Danio rerio: one gene and its partners. The protein of the gene in region 2 interacts with the protein of the main gene of each other region in a pairwise test. Links are inferred from orthologs where the notes say so. Each region holds a gene or a part of one and is shown on either strand. Other genes may lie near its edges.

Region 1 (6,273 bases), on a different chromosome or scaffold from region 2:
TCCAGGTACAGTCGCCCAGTCTACACGCTGGAATACACGCTATGATCTCAGGGCCGTGACGCAGCTTCAAAAATTCGTTTCAAACCGGAAGTACGAATTTGCTCGAAATAATGCTAAAAGTACCAAATTTCACTTTTTAGTGAGATATAGGTGTCCTAATAGTGTTTTTAGGAGTTTGGGACACATACACGACTGTCAACAGCTCAAAAAATGTGTTTTGGTGTTCCGTGACCCTTTAAAGGTTTTAACAATAGATTTACATCCATCACACTTAAAAACTCATGGATTTGATCATAATATACTTAGCAGCCACAGATCTTTTCTTATAATGTCTGAAACGGTTAGTTCAAGGATCCCCTCATATTGCAAAGTGTAGACTTTTCTAGTTGGTTAGATGGTGTCATCTTATGTGATTGATTCACCACTTACGAGATATATCAGAAACCAAATGCCAATTACTATATCTGAATTTCAGCTTCAGATGGTTTCTTTTTGTCACATGAAAACACAGCGATGTGAACCATAACAATAGCATAAAAATTTTAAGTCCTCTCACTAGGGCTGGGCGATAAATCGATTTATCGATTAACTTAAGTGTGTAAGTTACACTGATTTGTTTGAATGAAAATTGGTTTTCGCTCTACATGCAACACTCTCCTCTGGGTTCCCGTAGTTCCCGCTGCATTTGCCATAAAAAACACTCACAAGCAAGATCTTGCGAAAACTCTGAGGAAAGTTGCACTCTGTGAAATGGAAAAGTACACCGACGCACAAACACACCCGCCTAAAAAGGCATAATTAAGGGCTCTCAGCTTGTGTCTCATTCGTCATGAGACACAAGCATTTTAACCTGCGCTCCACACCTGGTGTTTCTCACGATGAGAAGTAATAGACAATTAATAGACAAGACACGAATATGAAAGGAACTGTTAACGATCTAATGTTGGAGTTCAACATTGCTGTTTCTGGATAAATTACATGACCCAAAGAAAAAAACTCGCTCAATGCAGCGAATAATCCAGATGCAGCCGGCTGACGCAAATAAATGCAATAAAATGTAAGCCACTGGCCTAGCATGAGTAATTAATATAAAATGAATGAACCTCTATATGTATGTACATGTTGAAATAAACCGTATAAAAATAATGGGGAAATAAATCACCTTGAAAAAGGTCCCCTTTTAACAATCATTATGAGTTTACTTTCACTGTAATTTTATAAATGGTTTAATTGATATTATCATTATTATTATTATTATTATTATTATTATTATTATTATTATAAAAGTATTGAATACAATCTTGTTAAATTTGATCTTTTAATGACAGCTAGCAAGGTTCTTGAGGTAAAGGTTTTTTTTTCTCTTGCATTTTTCTATATTATATAATTATGATATGCTTAAGCTAATTATATAGGTTAATAACCTTAAACCTTTTTTTTGTAACCCTTAAAAAATTGTGTGTGAATAATAAAAAAAAAGCTATACATCATATACTATGCATGCATTTCTGCACATATGCAATGATAAAATTAACATTTTGACTCTGGATGGATATAAACCTGGTGTTGGAGACCTTTAAAACTAAATTAGCAAACATGTAGGTCACATTAAAGCTTCCTTTTGCAATTAATTTACCATTAGCAACAACAAGCAGATGTGTAATTTATTTGTGCAACTATATTGAGCTTAAAAGTTTGACATCTGTTGTGCTTTTTGCCTCTTCTCTAGAATAAGAAGTCACCGCCCTACCTTGCACTTTACTTTTGCAATTTGACCTTATCATGTTAACAACAAATTTAAAACCGCTACAATACATGCCACATGAAAGACAAAGTCATGGTCTGCAAATGTTTGATACGTTTTATTTCCACATGACTCTTTTGCAATTAGAGACACTTGATGTTTCCATTCACTTAATGTTTTTTTTGTGTGTGTGCGTAGGAGAATGCGCTCTGGTAGTGGAGTGTCTGTGACTAGCATGCACTCGACAGACTTGCGGTCTCAGGAAGAGCCAGAGGAGGAGGAGAAAGAGGCCGAGAAAAAACTTCCAGGTCAGGAAACATTGGTTAAAGTTCATGTGGTCTCAGATGACAAGTATACCCCAGAATTCAATTTGCACATTTTTTTATATGGATAGTCTTGATTATTTTTGCATTAATACCTTTCAGTGCAATGTGTTGTGAGATCTGATACCAGTTACCTATATAAATGGAGAACATCCACTGCCAACAGAGGCTGTGTTAACTGTACATTTTCCACCATTAACTTACTTTTAAAAATGTTTTTCGTCATTTAGGCTGATAAAATATCAGGTTCCTGGTTTACATTTACCTGCAGTACTTAAACAACATTATCATAGTACACAATACACTTGCACAATTACACAATTGCAAACTTACACACACAAAAAGATCTTAAAATAATAGTTTTAATAACTCATTTCTAACAATGGACTGATCTTTGCTATGATGACAGTACATACTATTTTACTAGATGTTTTTCAAGATACTAGTATTCAGTTTAAAGCACAATTTAAAGGCTTAAAGGTGCAGTAGGTGATCTTCCACAATGCTAACAGCTTAGCATAAATCTCTGAATCACAGTCCCTCCCCTGTCATTCAGAGCCACGCCTTCTGAAACACGAGCATGCGCACCTTAAAGATGACAGCAGAAGAACCCTCTCTCATGTGTTAAAAGCGACAAGTGCTTGACTGGTGGCATGCAGGAATTACACTCATTACTAAACCAAACTGACATGCTATTTCAGAGCGGATATTCAGAGTAGCATGGTAAACAATAGAAGGACAGCACCACAGGTTGTCATTGTTTAAAAATGAACCACTGGGATGTGAATATAAAACCATCTTCACCTCAGTAAAGCTGGCTAGGCGGAATAGCGCTATTTACTTGTGTTTTGTTGTTAATCTAAATAAAATCTACATTATAGATGATGTAAAAAGACCTTATGAAACTGAAAATAGTCACATCAATCTTTCATCGGAAGATTTTAGTGGCTGAACAAGACTTCTGTGCGGATATAACCCATTTGTAACAACAACATCAAACGTTACATCAGCTTTGCGTGAAGCTAAAATAGTTTTTAAACAGAACATTACCTGTCTTAGAGAAATACTTTAGCCATGGTGTCATCCTTTCTCCAGTGTGAAACGCTAACTCCAATATTGATTCAGGTTTTTATAAAGTTTTGATTCAGCATGTTTTTACAGTCTCTCTCTCCCTCTCTCTCTCTCTCTCTCTCTCTCTCAATTCAATTCAATTCAATTTAATAATTGCTTTATTGGCATGACAAATGTTACAAATGTATTGCCAAAGCAGTTATAAAGTTTACATAAAAAGTAACATATATATATATATATATATATATATATATATATATATATATATATATATATATATATATATATATATATATATATATATACAGTACACACAGTAAATAGTAGTAGTAAAAAAATATATTTATATATAATAATTAAATAAAATATCAACAATACATCATATTATTCAATATATCACATTAATATTCAATATATTATATTATTATTCAACATATCATATTATACAAATCAATACAAAAATAGATCAGAATAAACTGTACATTTAACAATCAACATTTTAGGATAAAACAGTAATAAAAACAATAATAATCAGTATATTTACAATGATTCATTTAAAATCACCTAGGTGTGTGTGTGTGTCTCTTTCTCTCTCTCTCTCTCTCTCTCTCTCTCATGAACGCGGAATGCACAAACAGCGGAGCTGCGTACAAACGGCGGAGCAGTTGTTCAAATCTGCATTTGCTGACAGTTTGGGCTACTTATCGGAATTATGGGAGATGCCAGCCCGACTCTATTTAATTGGATATTCATTTTTTAGTTTTATATCTTATTCAGAGTATAAAAATATGTATAAATACATTTAGATCATTTACTTTAATCAATACTATTGGGATGTGTAGAGACTTTCAACCAGCACAGCAAAAAGTGTTTCTAGAGACAATCACCTGCTGCACCTTTAACTAGTTATTAGGCAAGTTAGAGTAATTGGGCAAGTCATTTGTATAACGATGATTTGTTCTGTAGACATTTGAAAAAATATAAATTGCTTAACGGGGCTAATAATATTAAAAACTGCTTTTATTCCACCCAAAACATAAGACTTTTTCCAGTAGAAAAAAATATAGGAAATACTGTGAAAATGTCAAAAATTTATATATTAAAAAAAGAAAAAAAAATTCACAGGTGGGCGAATAATTCTGACTTGCACTGTACATGCACACTGATACCTGTTATTGTTTTCACAAATATGCATGCATAATTTAAAGGGGCTAAATGCTAATTAAATGGTCTTTTGCAGCATGAAATGTTGTACATCAATCTCCTAAAATTGTTTCCATAATTTCCCTTCAGTCACATTTGAGGATAAGAAACGAGAGAACTTTGAGCGCGGAAACCTGGAGTTGGAGAAACGTCGACAGGCACTTCTGGAGCAGCAGAGGAAAGAGCAGGAGCGACTGGCGGCGCTGGAGAAAGAAGAGCAGGAGCGGAAGGAGAGGGAACGACTGGAGCAGGAGAGACGCAGACAGCAGGAGCTGGACAAACAGCTGGAGAGACAGAGGGAGCTGGAGCGACAGCGGGAGGAGGAGAGACGCAAGGAGATCGAGAGAAGAGAGGTGCGTTCTCAAGTTCTCGGAAATCCATGAGTGAAAAGTAGGGCCTGACAGAATCTGCTGACATTTGTTGCTATTTCTGCTGAGAATTTTGTTAAAAATCTGTGGATTTATGCGGAAATGTTGTGGGAGTATCATAACTAAAAACTTAATATATGAAATAAAAATTAATAACTTTTATTTAATGTTTTTACAATGCAAATCGAATTAGATCCACTCAAACAAAGCAAATCTTTCATATAATAAATCGACTAAACGACAGAAAATATTACTTTACAAACTGTATTGTAAATAAATCAAATGAACATTTTCATATCAGTCAATAATATTACTGAAAATAGTTTAAAAACTGAATAAATATAAATTTACACAAGTAAATAAATAGACTCAGTGATGGGACAAAAATCCGTGGATTTCTGCGCTCACAGATTCCGTGTGGGCCTAGTGATAAGTAGTGCTGAACAATATATTGTGATAAGTATGGTTATCGCGATAATAGCATATGCAATGATTGTATCGCTGTTGTGTGTAGTTGAATTACATTTTATTTAATACATTGGTTGATTTTAGCTACAGTTAAAGTCAGAATTATTATCCCTTTAAAATTACTTTTAAATTTTTACCCAATTTATTTTCAACTGAGTTTTTTCAACACACTTCTGAGCATAATAGTTTTAATAACTCATTTCTAATAACCGATTTCTTTTATCTTTGCCATGATGACAATATGTGCTATTTTACTAGATATTTTTAAGATACTATTGACTATTGTTCAGCTCAAAGTGCAATTTGAAGACTTAATTAGGTTAATTAGGCAAGGTATTGTATAATGATGGTTTGTTCTGTAGACTATCGAAAAATTCATCTGCTTAAGAGGACTAATAATATTGACCTTAAAATGTTTTTTGATTTTATTGTAAAATAAGTTTTTTAGGGAAATATCATTTAATATTGTTTTTATATTGTAAGAAATACTATTATGTTGGCGCCAGTGGTGTAGTGGTTAGTACAACGGCACATGCACTCGCGGCGACCCGAGTTCGATTCCGCCTCGCAGTCCTATGCCGATATTTCCCCTCTCTCTCTGCTTCCCATTGCTTTCCTGTCAATTCTCTCTACTTTCCTATCCAATAAAGGTGAAAACCCCGAAAAAATTACTATTAAAAAAAAAAAAAAAAAATGCTATTATATCATGCAATATTCAACAACATAGTCGCACATTTTCCCAGTGCCTTGAAGCCAGAGTGTTCAGCACTATTGACACTATCATTAACCCTTGTGTTATTTTGTGTGTGCTCTCACCATGATGCATATTTTATTTGAATGTGGACATTTAAGTACTGTTAGACAAAAACACTTTATTTTATGTTTTTAAAAGGAATCACCAGGATGAATTTGAAGTTATTTATCAAATATTAAATTGAGAAAAATCATGTTTGACTTTGTATTAATGTGAGCCATCTCTTAATGAATTATGAAGTTGTTCTATCATGTAGTGTTTTTATGCAAATTGATCTTGCCATGAAATAGCCATAAGTTGCTTATGTGGCAATAAATAAATAAATGATTTTGTGTGTTTGAA
Region 2 (6,273 bases):
AGGAGGAGGAATGGAGGGACGGGGGCTTAAACAGACATTTAAAATTAAGCTTGATAATGCGAAGGCTTTCAATTTGAAACGCAACACGCTCTTGGAGCTAATTTGTAAAAGTGACGATGCCTTAAAAGGCCTCTAACGGAGCACTGAGCTTAATGGAGCTCTTTCTCTGCTCTTTCATCCAACTATTTTTTTCCCCCTGTTGAAGGTGAAATAAATGTTCACTAGGAGACTCAACAACTGTCCGATCTCTCTCTCTCGCTCCCACATCCCTGTTGTCTCCATATCAATACTGATTATGTGTCACTGAGCCGTTATTTTCAGTGCTGCCGAGTGATACAATCGGCTGGTGGCTGACTGCACAATGAAGTCTTATTGCAGACGGTCCCAAAGGCGAGAAGGGGAATTAGGTAAATAATTTGCCTGCTTGGCGTCTGGTTTTGTTTATTTAAAGCTTGCTGTGCAGCCTCGGAGGAGCAAATAGTCAGACAGGACTATGGCGGTGAAAACATGGCAGAAAAATGGGACAGAATGCTTTATGCAAGCTAGCTTTCATATTGTTATGGAAGTCTTGTTGTAAAACCAAAACAAAGAACAAAAAGACACCATCTTTTTGCTGCATCTTCAGTGAACATATAAGGGATGTAATTTGGTTATGGAAATCGGTAACAAATATGAATTATATATCGGTTTTGCATATGAATGGATCTTGGTTAGGAGGAGGAGGAGAAAATAGTTTTCCCTTTGCTTACCTATCCTAGAACTAAAAGGCTTGCATTAGCTGTGATCTCATTTGAGAAAGTTAGCATTAATAGTGATAAATTGGCTTTCAGCTAGGCTGAATTACGCTCGTCCTCTAAAAGACATAGCATATTCTTTAATATTATACATGTACATAAAACAGAAAAACAATACTTCTAATATAAAGCAAAACTTCTAGTATGATCTAATATTTCTGATTAAATGATTGGCTAAATAATGTCTGTGTAAGATGGATTTTTTTTCAGTCAGAACAGTTTTCTTATAAATCAGTGCTGTACCTAAACCAAATTGTCTGCAAAACCTCAAATCTCTGACCCGTCTCCATTTTTAAATAAATTGGAACATCACTGCTTGTATGCAGTGCAAAAGTAAATTAAAACAGTTTTTGAAACAGATAGAAAATTTTATTTTATAATTTGTCTGCTTGCCACTACCAATATTATCGTAAATAAGTTTATTTTATAAACTTATAGATATTTTAAGAACAAGAAAAACCGAGCACCCACTTAAATACAAAGTAAAGGAATAACCTGCAATGCACTGCCTCAGATGAAGACAGTCTTACGTTTGACAAAGCACATCTCTCCAGCGTTTGTATAAAAAAAACTAATAATATAATAACAATAATAAGTAAATAAATAAAAAAAAAACTCCATTTAAGCTTGATTAGGTGTCAAATGTTAAATCGCGTAATCACACTTGCAAAGTTATATATATATATATATATAATAAATATATTGCTGCAATATATTTTCTGGAAGAATTGTGTAGTGAATAATGCCATCTCAACATACAGTTTTTTCTTTATAGATTTGTTTTGTTTGTTTGTTTGTTTGTTTAACTGAAGATACTCCCACAATGTAAAAAAATACCTGGTTGCCTTAATTGTTTTACATTCATTAACCTTATGAGATTTTACCTTTAAGCTCCATTTAACTTCGATTTAAGCGAACTGTTATCACACAAGAAAATTTTTTTGCCCATATGTGAAGCCAAGCTAACAAGTAGTAGATTTAAAGTTTTCCATCCAGCAGTGATATGTTGATATGTGAAGTGATAAGAACAATTAGATGACCGACTATGGCTCTTACTTTCTGGTCAGGCAGTAGAGGGTTAGTCTGCAATGAACTCAAATGGCCATTGATGAGTGCTGTGGGTCTGTCGTGTTCACAAAACAAGCTGCCGTTGATGTAGTGAAACCTGTCACCAGGGACAAGCCGGTTCCGGCAGGTAGAACATGTGAAACACTGCAGGAAACAAAACAAAAGAACTACATTACACACAATCCTTAGCACATTACTTCCTACACATAACCTGCAGAACATTTTCTTGAAAGGTGAAGCTATTATTCCTTTTTGTTTTTTATTATTTTGCAATTATTTTTGTGGAGGGACACAGAAAACATTGATTAAAATGTACATAAAAGGCATTTGATTTGATATCAATTATAAGCTTATGAAAAACTATTCAACAGAACACCTTCAAACAATCAGAAAACTCTGTGGAGTGTGAAAGGATTTTGTAATGCAATTGAGCATTTAATTTTAGAGCAGCAGTGGTCACTTCTAGATAAAAGGTTACCTTGAGATGGTACACGTTTCCCTGTGCCCTCATAACCAGTTCACTGGCTGGGATGGACTGACCACACGCACTGCATGCCCCACTGTTCCCAAATAACCTGGGAAAAGAAATAGAAAACATGTTAGTAGTGCCAAAGCAACATATATCCAGAGCACCGAATATGTCTTAGACGAAATAGCTGAAATCTATGAAATTGTAGTATGATTTAAATGACCAGCAAAATATGGTAGATCTCAATCAATCAATATAATGTCACACCAACATATCATGAGCAATATTTACTCATTAATATGGTCCATTTATAAATTTATATAACCCATGTAAACAATTGCAGTTGTCCCCACAATTTATTTATTTGTATTTTTTTTCCAATTCAGTGACATTTTATCAATAACTAATTGGATGATGCTCTTTAAACAACCCTACTGTATTAAATAAGAACTATTGTTACACTACCATTCAAAAGTTTGAGCTAGGAATGATTTTCTTTTTTTGTTTTTAAGAATAATTTACTTTTATTGAAGTTAATGCATGGCTTCTGAAAAACATTAACAACTACAAGCACGAAGATAAATGTTTTTGTAGGGTATATATTGCATACAGACTCCCTTGTTGGTCATTAAGAACTATTGTTACACTTTTTTTTTTTTTTTTTTTTAAGAATTTAGTTTTTGGTCAGGTTAATGTGTATCTGCTGAATAACAGTACCAACTACTTGTACAAATGCAATTAAAAGCATATAAATTGCATCCAGACAGTTTTTTTTTTTGTTTTTTTTTGTCTTTTTGGAGCTTAAAAGCTATGATCACCATTTACTTTCATTGTATGGAAAAGAACAGCATTAGCATTTATCAAAATATCTCTTTTTGGCTTCTATGTTAGAAAGTCAGTCATATGGCATAATAACATCCTATTGTCGACTAAATGACAAAACCATTAATTTACTAAATGACAAAACCATTCATTTACTGATGACTGAGATTGAAAATAAAACACTGGATATGGACAGTGCAGTCATTAATATAATGAATACTTCCATGTGCATCAGCAAGGTTTATTAACCTGTTTGGCCTTGTTTTACTGTAACAATGAAATCCTTGAGCAAGTACAGGTTAAATCATTTCAATCTTGTTCCAGGGCCTCCTCCTCACCCTCTCTCAATCTCTCTCAGTCTCTCTCTCTCTCTCAGACACACACACACACAAGCAGAACAAATTACATCTTCAATATTCTGATGTAGAAAAAATAAAATCATAGTAATATCGCAAACCAAATGAAAAAATCCTGCATCCTGTCCTCCAAAAGCCTCTACCACTGGGACTAAGTATTACCTTTGGTGCTCATTTTTTGCAACCTAATAATAACCTAGAACATAAGCAATCAGGGCCTAAGAATATTTGATTGTACATCTAGGCGGAGACACAGCGCTTTTGCCATTAGGACTCAAGCGAGTGCTCAGTCACTGCCGCCTTTCCATTAGAAACCCTCGGCTACCCGGGTTGATATATAATGTGCATGGGTTAACCTTTTCAATCATGGTGTCAACACTTTAGATTTGCTTCTGCTCATCTCTTTCGTCTCTAACCTTCCCTCTCTCTCTCTCTCTCTCTCACTCAGTCTCTTGATAATGAAATGCTTGCTCCTGCTTCCTTTCTATCTGCCTTCTGAGTCCACAATTTAGATTACTTCATCTTGCCGAGCAACAAACTGAATGAAATTTCGATTTGAGCAGAAAGTAATTTACTGGGATCTGGACCCATTTGTCATCATATCTCACTGGCTGTTTGCTCTATCACTGCACTTTTCCTATGCAATCAAATAAGACCACAGCATCTGACAAGCTCCAGAGAGAGAGAGAGAGAAAGAGAGAGAGGGAGAGAGAGAGAGAGAGAGAGGGAGAGAGAGAGAGGGAGAGAGAGAGAGAGAGAGGGAGGGAAATATGAGGAAGGAAGCAAGAAAGAAAGAAAAAGACTGTTAAAAGGAAAGAGGGAGGGTAATGGGGAAAAGACACAAAAAGGATAGAGGGAAAAGGGAAGCATTGCAAGTACCTTCCGTATGTAAACAGTTACAGATTAACCTAAAAGTTCAAGGATGATTTGGTCCCTCAAAATGCTTCCAACTGGTAAACCGGTAAACGTGCATTGTGTAGACTCTGATACTACATCTGCCACACATGAGAACATGTGCGTTCCGACACTGAAACAGCTGTCACCTGCGATGTTTTGCATACACGTGTGGTGTTTATTGGGGCCGCTACACAACGAGCAAGTGAAGCTTTAAGAGTTTCTCTTCAGCGGTGGCTGTAGGGTGAAGGGGGGAGGGAAAAACAAATTTGGCTGTGGCATCGATTGGAGCAGCTCAATCAAAACTCAATTTCAAACGTAATTAGCTGTAGGCTTGTGACAACAGCGCGGCTTCAATGGCGTCGATGGGCCAGTCATGCTAGGCAAATGTCAGGGGGGAAGGTCTTTAAAAGCTGCAGTTTGATTCACCTGTAAAATGACATCTTCCCCTGGCCTTGAGAAAGCAATCAGCCGAGCCACGACGTACGCTTGATTCGACAATCCCCGAGCGCTCACACCTAAATTCGCTTACAAGTATGCATTATTTGGGATCCGGGCTCCCCTTTTAATTGCACCAGTTGTCTTCCAGAGAAAAAGCCTGAAGATTCTCCAAGGCAACCTTTTTATGCTCCTGCAGCTCTGTATACGTAGCATAGCAGGTTAATTATTTGAGCGGGGAAAGGCTGCTGATAGCATTTGATTTAAAGGCCTGAAGGTTTTAGGTGCTCAATTAAGTTGCTATCAGTCTGCTCCTCACCTCTAATGGTCTCTCTCACCATTGAACTCCTGTGCTGACGAGGGAAGCGTAGAGCAGCAATATCACGGGTCACCATAATTAAGGCCAAGGGACTCTTTAATTGCAATGACACCACCAGATTTGGCTTCCTTCTCCTCAAATCAGCCTTTCCCTTTGTTGCTTTTCCCACTTTCTAGGTATTCAGCCTCTTGATCAATCAGAGGAGGAGGATTTTGTCAGCGAAACATCGCGGAATGCTGATTTATCGACTTGCTCGGCCTCGAAAAGGGTGGAATAAAGAAGGGCTACAATCTACGGCTGTCTTTCATTACGAAAGCAAGACAAGAAATCTGTCTGCGCTCCATAGGCAATGTCTAGAGGATTTAATTTGGATACCGACTGTGAAGTAAAATACAACCTAGCAGGGCTGTTTTGGGCCATCTGGCAGAAGCTCTGCCTTTTAAGCGGAACCTTTTGAGTGGAGTGATGCAAGTTGGTACAACAATGATTTCTGCAACACAGTCCATTATAAAAATGCCTCTCAACATTAGCAGGCAAAGCACCTTAAAAGCACTGGGCCATATTGATACTTAAGCAGGGCTTTGCATAATGGCAGTGTTACATTAGGTAGAGAGAGAGGGAGGGAGCGAAAAAGAGAGAGAGAGAGAGAGGGTGGGGTGGAAGGGATGGGGTGGGTAGGGGGAGATTTCAGGCAAAAAGAGCGTGCAGGCGGGTGAAGGGGGCTGAAAGCAGCCAAATGACACTCGGTTAATTCAGAGTAACAGATCTAGTCCCAAGTGGATTGAAGGCCTTGAATTAATTCTGTTATGACAAATCAAGATAAACGTTTCCCCTAAATTGCATGCAATTTAATTAATTTCTGAGATCCAAGTATTTCCTGGCTTAATAGTTCACATGCTCCCGTGCTGTCATAGTGCTTGAGTGGGCAGACTTCAAAGTGATATTAAATAACCAACTATTAGATTTACCTAGCACGTTCTATTGGAAAAGTGCCATTTAATTACCTGGCTCTATTCAATTAAAAGGACAGTGTTTTTCCCTACGACCTAACGGTCACATGATTGCTCTCTCCCCAAATTAATTCTCTCGCTCTCCCTTGCTTCTCAACAGCTC
Region 3 (6,273 bases), on a different chromosome or scaffold from region 2:
CATGCACTATAGGCAGGGCTGGACTGGGACAAAAAAAATCAGCCCTGGCATTTTGGTACAGAGTGGCCCACTACATTCAAATCAAAATGCTCCCCATCTGTGCACGCCCTTGAATATGATTATCAACTCCCATTCTATAAAAGCACAAAAGCCATATATAGGAACAATTAAGAGTTGCCAAATTAAAAAACTTAAAATTTTAATTTATTATTATAATAAAATTATAAGTCCAACTTGTGTGTGCCTATGTGTTTTGAGCCTATATTAAATAATGAACAACAAAAACTGCCTTCTGATGCACACAGTTAATGTTGATTACCAAATTAAAGTTTTATATTAAAAGCAGTGTGTCAGAGACACTTAAAAATGTTTAACTCAACAATGAAACTTCAAACATAACTTAAAGATTGTACATAGCCAATCAAATGAACTTAAACAATTAAAAAGTCCAACAAGTATTTGTTTGGGCCTAAACTACAAAATCAAATGTAAAAAAAAATAGTATTAGTTTTGCTTGAGTTGCGCACTAGTTTGGTCATGTATACATATCATTATAACCATATTGTTTAAATATTATTGTCACTATAAGCATACGTCATGCTGACGATCAAAAACACAATGTCATGATATCTCATGCGATTGTCTTCTGACAGAGTGCATCTTAGAATACATGACCGACACTCCTCATAGAGCTCGAGAAGCAGACATTCTTTATGATGTATTTCGTTTTTAAAATAAAGGCTTGCAGGTTAAGGAAACAGCATAGGAGGAAGTTGCTGCGTCTTTGGTGCAGATGAAAAGTAAAAAAAGTATATTTATATGGACAGATAGGCAACTAGATAGAAGAGACGGGATTATATTCATTTGTGCAACAGTTGACGATCCGCTCCTCGCTGCAGACGCAAAAGGCAAACGCCTGCTCCATGCTGCTTCTGCTCTCCATATCCTCACGTCGGGTGAGAAACAGGCGTGACTCCCGACTATATTGACAAATACACACCAATGTTGCACGCTTGGTGTCCAAAATGGAAGTCTGTGGTTGGGTCAGCCCAATAAAATACTAAAATAATAATAATAATTTTAAGGTCAATATTATTAGCCCCCATATATATATATATATATATATATATATATATATATATATATATATATATATATATATATATATATATATATATTTTTTTTTTTTTTTATAGTCTACAGAAAAAAACACTAATACAATTACTTGCCTAATTAACCTAGTTAAGCCTTTAAATGTCACTTTAAGCTGAAAATTAGCATCTTTAAAAATATCTAGTAAAATATTGTGTTGTCATCATGTCAGATAAAAGAAATCATTTATTAGAAATGAGTTATACAAACTTTATTAGAAATATGATAAGTACAAGTGTAAAATAAATACAGGGGGCCTAATAATTCTGACTTCAACTGTATATCTGATAAAATAAATGATCCAAGCATGGAATTAAAGGCTGAATTCTCCTAAACAGCAGATATTATTGACCAGGGCAGAATCTGCAATTCATATGTCCTCAACCTGATGTTACATGAGGTCACGGTACGTCTCGGGCCAGATAAAGTTGTGCTGCTTAATAAATTGTCCCGTGCTCTCGGGTGTCAGTTCCTGAAGAGGAGAGATCGTCTGTCGCACCTCCGCAGTCCAGGTTTCTCCGCTCCACACGAGAAGCCCGGGGTCACAGTCTCGCATCTCTCCTCTTTCCTCAACACTTCTTCAGTTTCACTTTCTTTTGGAGAGCTTCCCATATTCACAGGAGAGTGTTGAGCTGCGGTTCTAATGCTAGACTCTCTGGTTCAGCTTAAACCTTTATGGGATCCTTAATGCAATGTTCATTTGGGAAAGTCCTTGTGTTGTTGGGGGTCATTACAAGGCTTTTGTGGCTGAAAAGAAAAACATATTGTAATCAATGTCCATGAAGTGACTATACAGTTGAGGTCAGATTTATTGGGGCTTATTATTTTGAATTTCCTTTGAATTTCTTTTTCTTTTTTAAAATATTTTTTCCAAATAATGTTTAACAGAGCAAGAAAATTTTCACAGCATGATGATAAATATTAATTATTCATTAATTGTTAAACGGGGGCTAATAATTTAGGGGGAGGGGGAGTAATAATTTTGACTTCAACTGTACATAGTTCTTCAATTTCTAACTGCATTTTTTCATCTGTTGAAGTAAAGCAGATGTGTCCTGTAACTTGATGCTGGTTGGTTTAGTCTGGTTAAATGGAAATGTCAATAGAATGATTTAATGCCTTTTCTCTTTCTCATCTTTTTCCTTTTCATCTTATTTTTTCTTCTTTTTCTTAAATTTCTTATGATTATTCTTTAAAAAAAATTGTTTTCTTGTTATTTTTCTTTGATTTTCTTTTTCTTTTTTTCTTTTTACTTTGTTCTTTTGCTTTTTTCTTTCTTTCCTTTTTTCTTTCTTTTCTTCTTTTGCTTTCTTCTTTCTTTCCTCTTTTATAATTTTAAGCTTTTTTCTTTATCCTTTTTTTCTTTCTCTCCACCCTTTAATTTCCTTTTTCTTTTGCTTTTTATTTCGTCTTTCTTTTTTGCTTCTTTCTTTTCTAATTTTTCTTTCTTTTTGCTTCTTTTTCTTTCTTTTCTGCTTTTTTGCTTTTTTCTGCATATTTTGCCTTTTACTCCTTTCTTTTCTTCTTTCCTTTTTCTTTTTTCCTTCCGTCTTCTTTTCTTTTTCTTTCTTTCCTCCTTTTTTTTCTTCTTTCTTTTTTCCTTCTTTTGCTTTTTCTTTTCTTCTTTCTTTCCTCCTTTTTTCTTTTTCTTCTTTCTTTTTTTTCTTCCTTCCTTCGCTTTTCTTTTCTCATTTTTCTTTTTTTTCTGTTCTTCCTTTTCTTTCTTTTCTTCTTTTGTCATTCTTCTTTTTTCTTTTTTTAATCTTCTCTTGCGTTCTTTTCTTTCTTTTGCTTTTTCTTCACCTTCAAATGTTTTCTTGATTTACTGGATTTATAACGTATGGATGTAACTTATTTCATAGAGATCTTATAATTAAATACATTATACCTAATTACAATACATCATACTCTATTACAAATGTTCTCTTAAATTTCCATTTCTCTGTGTGGACGCGTGTCAACATTTGAAGTCGATCAAAAGGTTTGAACTACTGAACAACGTCCATTCTTGTCTAAAGACAACTTTTTTTGATCAAATGTTGACAACTGCGTAAATGCATAAATGTCTACACGGGTACTATTTTTGTAATGCAAGTATATTACACAATATAACTGTTGAAAATGCACACATTTCTGGAAATATATCCTCATCTTACAACTCTCATAGCAGTTGTAAATTGACTGTAAAACATGAATTGTTGGGAGCTGCAGTTCAGCCCTCATGCTTTCATCCTTCTACTTTCAGAGTGCTCCGGTGACCATGCAGGTGGGCGAGGGTCAGCAGGTGCAGATCGTCCAGGCTGCTGCACAGGGACAGGCCCAGGCACAGACAGCACAGCCAGCCGGACAGACCATGCAGGTCATGCAGCAGATCATCACCAACACAGGAGAGATCCAGCAGATTCCAGTAAGAGGATGTCACGTTTACCTTTTTGTTTCATGATTGTGGTCTCTTTAAATGAGCTCTAGGCTAATTATGGGTACAGTAGCATATGTGGTGTTCATGAAGACCAGACTGATTTGCTGTTAGATGGAGGTGATGTTGTGTTCATCTGCGCCCTCTTGTGGTGGTGTTCTGCAGGTGCAGCTCAACACTGGCCAGCTGCAGTACATTCGCCTGGCTCAGCCCGTCTCAGGAACACAGGTGGTTCAAGGACAGATACAGACACTCGCAGCAAACACTCAGCAGGTAAATCATGAATACACACACAAACTGATTTCCAGATGAGATTTTACTGTGATATTTTTTACTGACACATTATTTTTGGTCACACTAATAATACGTGATTCTCCTTTTGAGAAATTGAGGATTTTCTTATGATACATACCTTTTTATAATTTTGATTAGTGTAATTAATAATGGCTGTTATTTTTTGATGATTGTTTTTTTTTTTTTAGCTTTCACAAACAGAAGTACAACAGGGTCAGCAACAGTTCAACCAGTTTACTGACGGGCAGGTGAGGACTTTTCTTCTTTATTTAATTTATCCATTGGGCAAAACATGTTAGCCCTCCTTGTGCTGCCAAAACAGCGCCAACTTACCGAGGCATGGACTCGGGGGTCTGCAACATATTTTGTAGTATGGACCAGTGTTCGTATTAACAATTTTTAATGTATTTTAGTTATTATGTACATAATTACATCTATATCACAAATTCATACAACAACAAACTAATACATCTCACTATAATAGAGAGAGTAGAGAGAGAGATGTTTGTTTCCCACTCATGCTGTAGTAACTGTATCTTATAAAGATTGGCGTCACACCCTTTGCATTGTAAATATGTTGGTAAGCAACGCAAACAGATGCCAATAATGGCGTTGTTTGTACCTTCATAAAAAAAGCTTTAAATTTCTAGTAGGGGAGCTGTGCACCGCGTCTGGTCTGCTATGTACACAGATATGGATATTGATTGTTGAAAGGAAGACTCAAAATAAAGTGGGATCTCGGAAAGAATTTTTTGCAAGAATACAAATTTACACTTTCACTGCATGAGACACGAGGAACAGATGCTTTGTCAAGTTGTGAATTTATTTTTTATTTTTTTATTTTTTTAATTAGACAATTTCTAATCTTTAGTATTTTCATTTTTTAAAATGTTTTACTTACAGTTTCATTTCACTGTTGTTTATATACTATGAAGACATTAAGGCGTTAATCTGGGGTCATTTTTGGATTTTATTTTGGGCCGGTCCTGCTTTATATTAAGTGGTCGTAACTACTTGGTACTTGCATGTACTTATTTTATTCATATTGTTTTGCACAACACTTATGGAGCTACTGATATTTTTTCAAGACACATTTATACAGCTTAAAGTGACATTTAAAGGCTTAACTAGGTTAACTAGCTTAATTAGGCAGGTTAGGGTAATTAGGCAAGTTATTGTATAATGATGATTTGTTCTGTAGACTATCGGAAAAAATATATAGCTTAAAGGGGCTAATGATTCTGACCTTAAAATGTTGTTTAAACAATTCAAAACTGCTTTTATTTTAGCTGAAATAAAACAAATAAGACTTTCTCCAGAAGAAAAAATATTATCAGACATACTGTGAAAATTTCCTTGCTCTGTTAAATATCATTTAGGAAATATTAAAAAAAAAAAATTTTAAAGGAGGCTACAAATTCTGACTTCAGCTGTGTGTATGTATATATATGTGTATATATATATATATATATATATATATATATATATATATATATATATATATATATATATATATATATATATATTAGAGGTGTGAACCTATACTGGTCTCACGGTTCGGTTCGGTTACGATTATCCTGCCTTCGGTTCAATTCGATATTTCGGTGCATCACGGTGCATTGACGATGCTTTCCATATACAGTGTTATATTTTAGAGGGGAGGCTATAACAAGCTGTCTGTATAGACACACAGCACCACACTGTCTCTCATTCAAACACAAACATAGACGGCACCAAAGAAACAAACACACACACACGCACACACACACACTCAAGCCCTCGCAACTGGAAGAGCTCGCCAAGAGCGGAGCAGAAAAACGAAAAAAATAAGCACTTTTCCGACGGTCCCTTACAGAGAGCTCCTCTCAGCGCGAGCTCTCCCGGCTAAAGTAAACGCAGACTGCGAGGGCTTAAACGGAGCAGTGCTCGTAATGCGGGCCTGGTTCAAGGCAACTGTACTTAGTCTGATTATGCCCTAAGAGTGTCCCGTAATTTCCAATCCCATTGTTGATAGTAATGGTCATGGTTAGTCATGTAACCTATTGCTTTAATGTCCTTAAATGAAACACTGACGCATATTTAAAAGCTATTTCCTTCATTTAACAGACATTTTCTGACTGCAACATTTCAGAAATATAATTTAGTGACATCTAAAAAAAAAAAAATGAATGTTGGGAATGTTGTCAGTAGTAGTCAGTCTCCATTAACACCCGATGCCTCTCCTGTCCCTGTGCCCCTGCAGCAGCTCTATCAGATCCAGCAGGTGACGATGCCGGCAGGACAGGAGCTGACCCAACCCATGTTCATCCAGTCCACCAATCAGACAGCTGACGGGCAGGTCACTACGCAGGTCAGCGCAGACTGAGCCCATCCATCATGAAGCCCCCCCGGCACTATCAAAACAGTGGAGG

Evidence for each region.
Region 1: the proteins of lmo4b (region 2) and itsn1 interact in binary tests that used the Homo sapiens proteins (3 or more experiments, as listed by UniProt). The link is inferred for Danio rerio from reciprocal best matches to the Homo sapiens genes LMO4 and ITSN1.
Region 3: the proteins of lmo4b (region 2) and nfyc interact in binary tests that used the Homo sapiens proteins (3 or more experiments, as listed by UniProt). The link is inferred for Danio rerio from reciprocal best matches to the Homo sapiens genes LMO4 and NFYC.

What each region holds. Positions count from the first base shown.
Region 1 is NC_133176.1:50,354,543-50,360,815, reverse strand, and holds part of itsn1 (intersectin-1), read left to right. Parts: intron 1-1,942; coding exon 1,943-2,052; intron 2,053-4,431; coding exon 4,432-4,694; intron 4,695-6,273. UniProt on the Homo sapiens protein: Adapter protein that provides a link between the endocytic membrane traffic and the actin assembly machinery. Acts as a guanine nucleotide exchange factor (GEF) for CDC42, and thereby stimulates actin nucleation mediated by WASL and the ARP2/3 complex.
Region 2 is NC_133181.1:28,415,707-28,421,979, forward strand, and holds part of lmo4b (LIM domain transcription factor LMO4b), read right to left. Parts: intron 2,438-6,273; coding exon 2,341-2,437; intron 2,007-2,340; coding exon 1,851-2,006; intron 1-1,850. UniProt on the Homo sapiens protein: Transcription cofactor. Plays a role in establishing motor neuron identity, in concert with MNX1, acting, at least in part, to disrupt LDB1-LHX3 complexes thereby negatively modulating interneuron genes in motor neurons.
Region 3 is NC_133194.1:44,910,189-44,916,461, forward strand, and holds part of nfyc (nuclear transcription factor Y subunit gamma), read left to right. Parts: intron 1-3,397; coding exon 3,398-3,559; intron 3,560-3,733; coding exon 3,734-3,841; intron 3,842-4,050; coding exon 4,051-4,110; intron 4,111-6,104; coding exon 6,105-6,227; 3' UTR 6,228-6,273. UniProt on the Homo sapiens protein: Component of the sequence-specific heterotrimeric transcription factor (NF-Y) which specifically recognizes a 5'-CCAAT-3' box motif found in the promoters of its target genes.